Linked DNA regions of Oryctolagus cuniculus. The protein of the gene in region 2 binds, or shares a complex with, the protein of the main gene of each other region. Links are inferred from orthologs where the notes say so. Each region holds a gene or a part of one and is shown on either strand. Other genes may lie near its edges.

Region 1 (4,112 bases), on a different chromosome or scaffold from region 2:
GGTACATTTGGAGGTTGGCAGGGTTTATGTGTGTGTTTGTGTGTGCCATGTCTGAGGCCATGAGGGAGAGACACTAAAGAGCAAGAGAAGCCGGGCTTGGAGGCAAGAGGCTGGAATTTACATCGTCTGGGTTTTTCCCTCTGCCCAGAGAAAAGGGAATTTTGTGTTTTCTGCTTCAGTGCTGCACACACACACCCCCACCCCTCAGCTATGAGCAGAAGCCTAAAGTGATTCTTCCCTTAATTCTAGGATGCTGGTAGCAGAGAAAGCAGGAAACTAGATAAAGGGTTCCTGCGTCCGTGCATGTGTGTGCACGTGTGTGTGTGTGTATTGGTGTGTGTGTAGGGGAAGGGGTTCTGGCATATTCTCAGGGTGAGCACCACTCCCACAAGGCTACTGTGCATGATGATTTTCTGGGAGGGGGGGGCAGAGGCCAGACTCTCAGGGGAGAAGGCAAAACTGCACATCTGCTGCCCATAACGTTCTCTGCCCCAGCCCAACCCTAGGTGAGAGAGCTGGAGGCACGGCAGGCCCTCGAGCCTAAATGATGGTGTGGAGCAGACCAAAGATGTGAAGATTGCATAGAGGGGCAGGGAGGGGCGGTCTTTAATTTTATAGATGAGTAGAGCGTGCTTGCGGCTGTCCATCTTTCCTGAGAACAAAATAAGACTGGTCTGGCAGCGGGACAGAAAGACGCTGTGCTGAAACCGCTGGATGTGGTGGAAGACCCCCTTCCAGGGCTCTCAGGACACGCGAAACAGCTCTGTGGGCCACGCTGAATTGGACAGTGGCCAGCAGGCTGGGAGGCAGAGGCAGGACGGCCACTCACTTTGGCGCCTAAACATCGGAGACTGCAGACGCCCAGCAGGTGCTGGGCGAGGAGCCTCGGCTTTCCTTCTGCTGTAGGGCTCTCAGCCTAACTGGGTAACTTTAGTGCAGGGTGCGTCTGGCTTACCTGACCTCTCACCTTCCAGTGGCAATCACAGGAGCTCTCCCGACAAGTTTCGGAGTTATACTCAGAAGGGACTCCTCCATCCATGATTCCACTCCCAAATCCTCAAGGCTCACCCACCTCTCACGCTATGCTATGGCCAGGGCTGCGTAGCAAACCCATTCTTGCATCTTTTACCTCTGCTCTACCCCACTACGGCAAAACAGCCAAAGGCTCAGCACTTTGGAGCTGTCAGAAGTTGGCACGGGTGGTGCCCCCCTTGCCTGGTGAGTGTGTGGGCAGGCTGCAGCTCCTCTCGCCTGGCACGGGGGAAGAAGAGGAGGGAGATGAGCCGGTGGATTTATTTAGAGACTGATCTCCCTCCTACTGCTTCAGAGGGGGCCTCAGGGAGAGAGCAAGGAGCCAGGAGAGAGGAGGCGAAGTGGCGGGGAGGGGGGAAGAGGGTGATCCAGGACGCTGAGACAGCTGGGAAGGCAGCAGGCTCACCCTCAGACAGCCGTCCACGTGTCTATCTTGTCCCGTGAAGGCCCTCGAGCCCTACAGAGAGCTCACTTTGGCACCCTGGGCTGTGCCAGCTGTCCCCTTCAAGTGTCAGAGAGAAGTGTCCACCAGAGCCTTGCACTGCAGCTGCTGTGCAATCAGCCCCAGAGGTCCCCCTGGGAGAACCGGCCCCAGGAGCAGTCAGGTCCCAGGCAAGGACTGCCAGCTCTGCCAGCTCTGCCCCTTAGCAACTCATCCATCCTGGGCTTGGAGGCAAGAGAAGGCTGGAGGCTTGAAGAGGCAGGCTGCGGCCCACGACCACCAGCACCTCTCCCAGGAGGTGCTGTGGCAGGGTTGGCAGCTCCAAGGGGGGCTTAGAAGCTGCCCCACTCTGGGCCCTATCTTTCCAGGCACTCTCCCTGAGCTCCGGGAATCACTGCCTAATGAGCTGATTTGTCTCAGTGGGTCAGGAGATAAAAGCAAAGAAGAGAATTAAATATTTATCGGCTGCCTGATTTCTCTGAGCCAAGAGAGCTTCCTATCCAAGCCCCGGGCCCCCTCCAGCCCCTCTGGCCTCACCGCCTGGCCCTCCATAGGTGCTGGGTGGCAGGCAAGCCGCAGCTGGGCACTGGGCATGGGGTGGGGGTGCAATCAGGTGTCCCCCCCCCACCCCCCAGGGTGCTGGATGCCCAGGAGAGAAAACGGGCTAGAGGAAGGGGTGAGCTATGGTGATGCGCCAGCGGGGGCGGGCAGGAGACACTGGGCCGCCTCAAGTTTTACAATCCTCTGAGGAGACGGCTTGGTACCCGACACCCTCAGGTCCCTGGTGTGCCGTTCATTTACAGCACATAAAGTGTGGCACGGCCCCCTGCCCAAGAGCCCCCATCAATCCAGAATCTGAAACTCCAGACGTCGCGGGAAACCCTTGCGCCCTCAGCCTCCGGCCTCTCTCCCTCCCTCGACCCCGTCCGTGCTGGGCTGCGGAGCCACCTGCTCCAGCCTTGCGCCACAAGGGCCCCCGGCCCCCCGGGTCTGGGCGGGCGGGCGCCCTCGGCGTGGAATCTGTCTTCCCGCTTTCCCAGAGCGCCCCCTGCACGCCCTGCCCCGCCACTGAGGCGTTTGTCAAAGTCCCGAACTGGGGGAAGGGCCCAGGGAGCCCCAGGTGTCGCCCCAACCCCCCACCCCCACCCCCGCTCCGGCGTGGGCACTCACCGCCTCCGAGTCCTCAAACCCGGGCACGTAGGAGTCCTCATACATGGGGAGTCCGGGCGGGAACGCGAGCGGCGCCGGGGCGGGGGCGGCCCCGAGGCAGGGGCGAGGACGGAGGGCCGCGCCCGAGGGACGCCAGCGAGCCCCGCAGCCTTGCGGGCGGCGGCGGCGGGCGCGCCGGGGACGGAGCTGCCACCGAGACGCCTGCTCGGGCTCGCACCGCAGCTGCCCACCCCCCACCCGCGGGCCCACCCCGAGCGCCGCCAAGGAGTCGGCGCCGGCTCCGCAACAATAGCGCCCGCCCACCCGGCCCTCACGGGAAGGCGGCGCGGCGTGGCCGCGGGGGGCAGCCGGGCCTGGGCCGCGGGAGGGCGCGGACGGGAGCTGGGTCCCCGAGCACCCACGGGCCCGGGGCGGCGGGCGGGAGGGGCGGAGAGGCGGCGGGCGGATCCGAGCGGGCTGGAGGCGGGGCGAGGGGCGCTGCGGGCTCCCAGACGCTCCGCAACCCAGGAAACTGCTCCGCCGGGAAACAAAGGGCTGGGCGGGGGCGGGGAAGGGGCCGAGCGGAGCCGGGCAGCGACCCGCGCGGGCCGGGGTTCGGGCGCTGGGGCGGCCGCAGGCTGGAGAGCGGAACCGGGGACCAGAAAACGGAGAGACCGGGCAGCGGCAGGCGGGGGAGGGGGCCCAGGTGAGATGGCGGCGCGTCCCAGGAGACTCCGAAAGCCAAACCTTGCATTGCAACCGCGGAGGAAGGGATTTGGCGACCCCAGGCCAGTGCTGTGGAAGCAACCACCCCAGTCCCCAGCCCGTACGCGCGGGCCCCGCAGTGCGGGGCCGCGCAGCTGGGGGGCGGGGTCGCCCGACCCTGGAGAAGGGCCGAGGTTCTGGCAGCTGGATAGGCCTCCGCGCACCTGTTGCACGGCGGATTTCACCCCTTTGCAGCCACGATGCAGGTTCCCTTCCTCATCTCCCTGCCAAGGGTGGTGCCAGACATGGCCAAAGGCATTCGTGGGAACTGGGGCAGAAGGGGCTGTTTTAGGAGAACCCACGAGGAGGGGTGGGGGCGAAGGTGCGATCCTGCCTGCCACACAGGCTTGGGAAGGGGAGAAAGGGGCGAGCGTCCCCAGTCCCTGGTGGGGGACCAGGGCCACACCCCGCCTTGGCAGCAAGCCCCAGCTGGGGGGGGACAGGTGTCCTGCTTGCCTCGTCCTGAGACTCTCTCGGGCCTGCTTCAGTTTATCTGTGCCTGTGGCAGTTCCGGCCTTCTCCTCTTGCTAGATTTGGGGGAACAACCTGGACGCCTTGACGGCCAAGGGGGGCGGTGGCTACTCGGGGAGGCGGTGGCTCGGCTTTCACAGTTCCCGCTCGCTCCTGCGGGGGGCAGGGGAGGGGCTGATCGTATATGGACATGACTGTGCCCTCTCTCTCGATTCCTTTAGGATTCCTTGTATCTTTTCCATTCTCTCTCGCG
Region 2 (4,236 bases):
AGTGGGGCTGACACTCCAAACCACACGCTCCAGTGTGTCCTAACCACGAGGCCAAACACCTGCCGTTTCGCAGGTCCCTGGGAAAGTAAAGTATTCAAGCCCCAGCTGCCCTCCGCCTTCAGTCCGTCTGTCCATCCATCAAACCTCTCAATAAGCATCTGTGAAGGTTCTGGGAGGACCTAGAGTGAGTGCCTCACAGCCTCAGTGACCTCAGCCTCCGAAGCTCAGAGCAAACCCATCCACCAGTGGTCTGTGAAGAACATGCTGACGCAGCCATCCTGGATCCACCGCCCGCCATGCCGCCAGCCCAGGGCACCACAGCCAAGTGCTGTTCTGGAAGCCGGGAGCCAGCACAGTCAGGTTCTGGTGAGGGCTCTCTTCCTGGCTTGCAGATGGCAGAGAGGAAGCAAGTGAGCTCTCTGGGCTCTCATCAGGGCCCCAAGCCACCACTCTTACCAGACCACCCCCCAAAGGCCCGCCTCCAAACGCCATCCCACTGGGAGCTGGCACATCACACCACCCCACTGTCTGGGCCGCACTGTCTGCTGGAAGAGCTGAAACCAGGACAGAATCCGGTGCCCCAACCGGGACTAGAACCGGGGGTGCCGGCGCCGCAGGCGGAAGATTAGCCTAGTGAGCCGTGGCGCCGGCCTGCATTTAACTTTGTAAGTGAAAATACAGCCAGGAATCTTTATGACCTGCCTGGAAGAGGAGGCGGCGCTCAGAGCAGTTCCATAGAAACAGTGGTGCCGCTGAGTCCAGCTGTATTCTCCGGGCCTCTCTCTGTCTCTAAGGGCGGTTGTTCCAGCACACGTTCCCTAGCCCTGAACAGGGACAGGAACAGGAAGAGAAGTGAGGAGGTAGAGGTGTTCTCATAGTGAGGTCACAGTTGGCTGAGGAACATGCATGCAGATTCCCAGGCCTGGGCGGTGGGGCTGGGCTCCTGTGCGGGCTCAGGCACTGCGTGGGAGGGGGCTCCAGAGGCCCTGGGCAGAGGGCCCTGGGCTGTCCCTAGGCAAGACCCTGGGTCCCCTGACTCCCCGGGATGAGGACCCCATCTTGGCAGCTGGCTTGCCCAGTGTGAGACCAGGAAGCAGCAGGGCCTCCCCGGGGGCCCTGTGCTGGCTTAGCAGGACCTCTGCAGCCAGAGCAGGTGCATCACCCGACACGAGGTGGCCCATCCCTCGCCCCCGTCCACTCCAAGTCACTCTGTAAAGCCTCCTCCTGCCCCACCCTGGCTCCAAGAGGGGAAGAAAGCGCTGAAACCCGAGCAGACGCCGTCCTGGGCCCTGCTGGAGGCATTAATAGAAGCCTCGCTCAGGCCCCTGACGTGTCTGGCAGCTGCTCAGCCCCAGCCCGCGTCTCCCAGCCCCAAGGCCGGCCCACTCTGGCTCAGCCGGGCACACTAAACTTAGCTTCCACCCCCAGCTCCGGAGCCACGGCCACCACCCTAGCCGGGCCGCCACCTGCACGGGCAGGCGCCGCCGCCAGACCCTACCTGCAGCACCCACCCCTCTGCAGCCGCCATGTCCCCGACGGAAGCCCCAAAGGTCCGCGTGACCCTCTTCTGCATCCTGGTGGGCATCGTGCTGGCCATGACGGCCGTGGTGAGCGACCACTGGGCCGTGCTGAGCCCCCACATGGAGAACCACAACACCACCTGCGAGGCCGCCCACTTCGGCCTGTGGCGGATTTGCACCAAGCGCATCGCCCTGGGCGAGGACAGGAGCTGCGGACCCATCACCCTGCCTGGGGGTAACGTATCCATGCCCTGTCCCCTCTCTGCCTCCTGCCTGTCGCAGGTGCCCCGGAAGAGGTGCCCGTGGGAAAAAAGGCAGGTTTCTCTGCCTCGGGTCCAAGCAGCACCCCAGCCCTCCCTGCCCAGGGCAGACAGAGCTGCGCATGGCACGGCCATGTACGGAGGGCTTACGTTTCCAGCTATTAGAACATGGGGCCATGCGCCCAGAGCAGACAGCTGCACAGATGGGACAAGAGGCCCAGGACGAAGACGCAGGTCCACCAGACCAGGGCCTCTGGCTCAGCAGGGGTCACAGCCCATGTCCCCAGGCTGGGTGGCCGTGTGCCCCCAGCCCGGCAGGTTCATTGCTCAGTGCCCAGGCAAGGGTGCAAACAGGGCCAGCTCCAGGGTCTGCAGTGCCTCCTGCAGAATGAAAAGGCAGGGCTCCTAGTTTCCGGCGACAAAGCGTTTCAGGTAGGCGGCCGCAGGGTGTGGGGCGCTTCTGGGGTGGGTGTGACTGTGCAGGCTGCACCCCTGGAAAGTGGGATGTGGCAGCATGCAAGCCGGCTGCCTGCTCGTGGGAGCCCACAGACCTCCCGGAGGGGCCCCCTGAACTCAGCTCTCTCAGATTCCAAAGTGTCCCCTGTCCCACAGTGTCACCCAGCCACACGCTGCAGGTGAGCCCTCGGTCCAGGACGTGGGGCGTGAGCAAGACAGATCCCTGGGAAGAGTGTCGGTTCTGCACGTGTGGGGCCCACGGAGTTCCAGTGAGCAGAGCGTGTGCCAGGGCAGCGGGTGCTGTGCGGGGAGCGGAGGCCTGGGCCCCAGTCACGCGCTAGCCGCCTGCTCCCTAGAGGAGGCTTCTGGGCAGACAAAGCCCAGCTCAGCTCCTCCTGCTGCCTCTTCTATAAAACAGGAGACTTGGTCTCAGCCACACACGATCCCTCCCAGAGCTCACCAAGGTCCCTCCAAGGCGGCAGCCGGCCAGGCTGTGAGTGACACCGTCCCACCTGACATGCGTGTTCAGAAAGGGCGTCCTTTAAGGCGGGTGGCGCTGAGCCCCCAGAGGTCTTGCAGTCTGCCCAGCCCCTAGCCCCATGCCGCCCTTTCCTCCCCCTGCCACTTGCTCCAGGGATCCCCTGCCCCGCGTGCCCCCGGGGGGCGTGCAGAGGACTCGTAAATCCTCAGCTGTCTTGGAAACGCTGAGTCCAGGGCTGGGAGCTTTGACAGGCGTGGGCATGTGCTCATGGGCTATCGCATAGCGCAGATGCTCATGCCCTCGGCCACCGCTGAGCACGCCCGTAAACACACGCCTCCTCCAGCCAACTCCCTTGGGCAGGGCAGGGCGGGGCAGGGCGAGGCGGCTCCTCCAGGGACACTGTCATGGTCCTAGCTGCTGTCCTTGGAGCCATCTGCCTTTTAAAGTCAGAGCCGATGAGCAGGGCAGCGGGCAGAGTCCACACAAGGAAGAGACAGACTGGCCAGAGGTGACCAGGCCAGCCCCAGGGGACCGACACTTGGCCTTGAGCCTGAGCAGCGTCCATCTCTTTGGCCTCTCCACGCCGCCCCCGCCCCAGGCGTGAATCATGCACTTGCGGCACTCAGCACTGCCTTCCCTCCAATAATCCTCCCAAGCATGTCCCCCCGGCCTTTTTCCTCTTTTGCAAACAGATGTCTGCTTCCTTCCCAATGTACCTTTACCTTCCTTAATCTCCTCGGGACCACCGTTTTCTGGAGCGAGTTCATACATCTCTCATTTATTTGTTATTAACCAAAGCAACAACAAAGGCACGCAAACGTAGCACTGTGTGCATGTATTGTTGTGAATGCTTTTCCTAAATTCACTTGAAATGACGTCAGAAAAATAGGACAGAGTAAGGCATGCCTGCCCCCAAATCTTCCCCATAAAAGCCATGAGGATTCTGGCAAAAATTGACAGGACACTGGACATTAACCAAATCTCACAGAATTCCAGAAAAACAAGGGAAGCTCAGGAGGAACAGAGACTTGCCCATTCCCACGCACCCTCCCCAGGTCTGCCGTGGCTTCAACATCTCACAGTCATCACCAACATAGCAGCCCAACAGCCACTGAGGGGGACAAATGGCCAGCTTTCTTTTACGGCTCTGTTTTCAGAGCGGTCATTGTGCGACCTGTCCTGTGGCTCCCTGCAAGTCCCCACTTACAAATCGCCTCTATCTGACCTGGCTCTGAGCTCTCCAGTGCCACCAATCTTTCTCCCAGGGAGCATTTGTTGAAAACAACTGGAGCCAACTGTGTAACATCATGGCTTCTTGAGACAGCACAAAACAGTTGGTGCTAATAATGGGATAGCCCAAACGCTGGAGGATATGATGTCCGTTGGCAGCTTTGGAAAGTTCCAACATATTCCTGGGCACCTCGAAGGCCTTGTGCATGCACGGTGCTGCCAACAGGCTCAGGAGAGACCTGAGGTCCTAAGCTCTCACCCCTGCCTTATCTTGAGGCTCTGTGCAAGT

What was found. Proteins that work in one complex are often made in the same cells at the same time.
Region 1: CACNG1 (region 2) and CACNB3 share a complex: the UniProt entries of both Homo sapiens proteins name them as parts of the calcium channel complex. The link is inferred for Oryctolagus cuniculus from reciprocal best matches to the Homo sapiens genes CACNG1 and CACNB3.

What each region holds. Positions count from the first base shown.
Region 1 is NC_091442.1:52,305,287-52,309,398, reverse strand, and holds the start of CACNB3 (voltage-dependent L-type calcium channel subunit beta-3), read right to left. Parts: upstream 2,851-4,112; 5' UTR 2,690-2,850; coding exon 2,645-2,689; intron 1-2,644. UniProt on the Homo sapiens protein: Regulatory subunit of the voltage-gated calcium channel that gives rise to L-type calcium currents. Increases CACNA1B peak calcium current and shifts the voltage dependencies of channel activation and inactivation.
Region 2 is NC_091448.1:13,144,043-13,148,278, forward strand, and holds the start of CACNG1 (voltage-dependent calcium channel gamma-1 subunit), read left to right. Parts: upstream 1-1,385; 5' UTR 1,386-1,526; coding exon 1,527-1,755; intron 1,756-4,236. UniProt on the Homo sapiens protein: Regulatory subunit of the voltage-gated calcium channel that gives rise to L-type calcium currents in skeletal muscle. Regulates channel inactivation kinetics.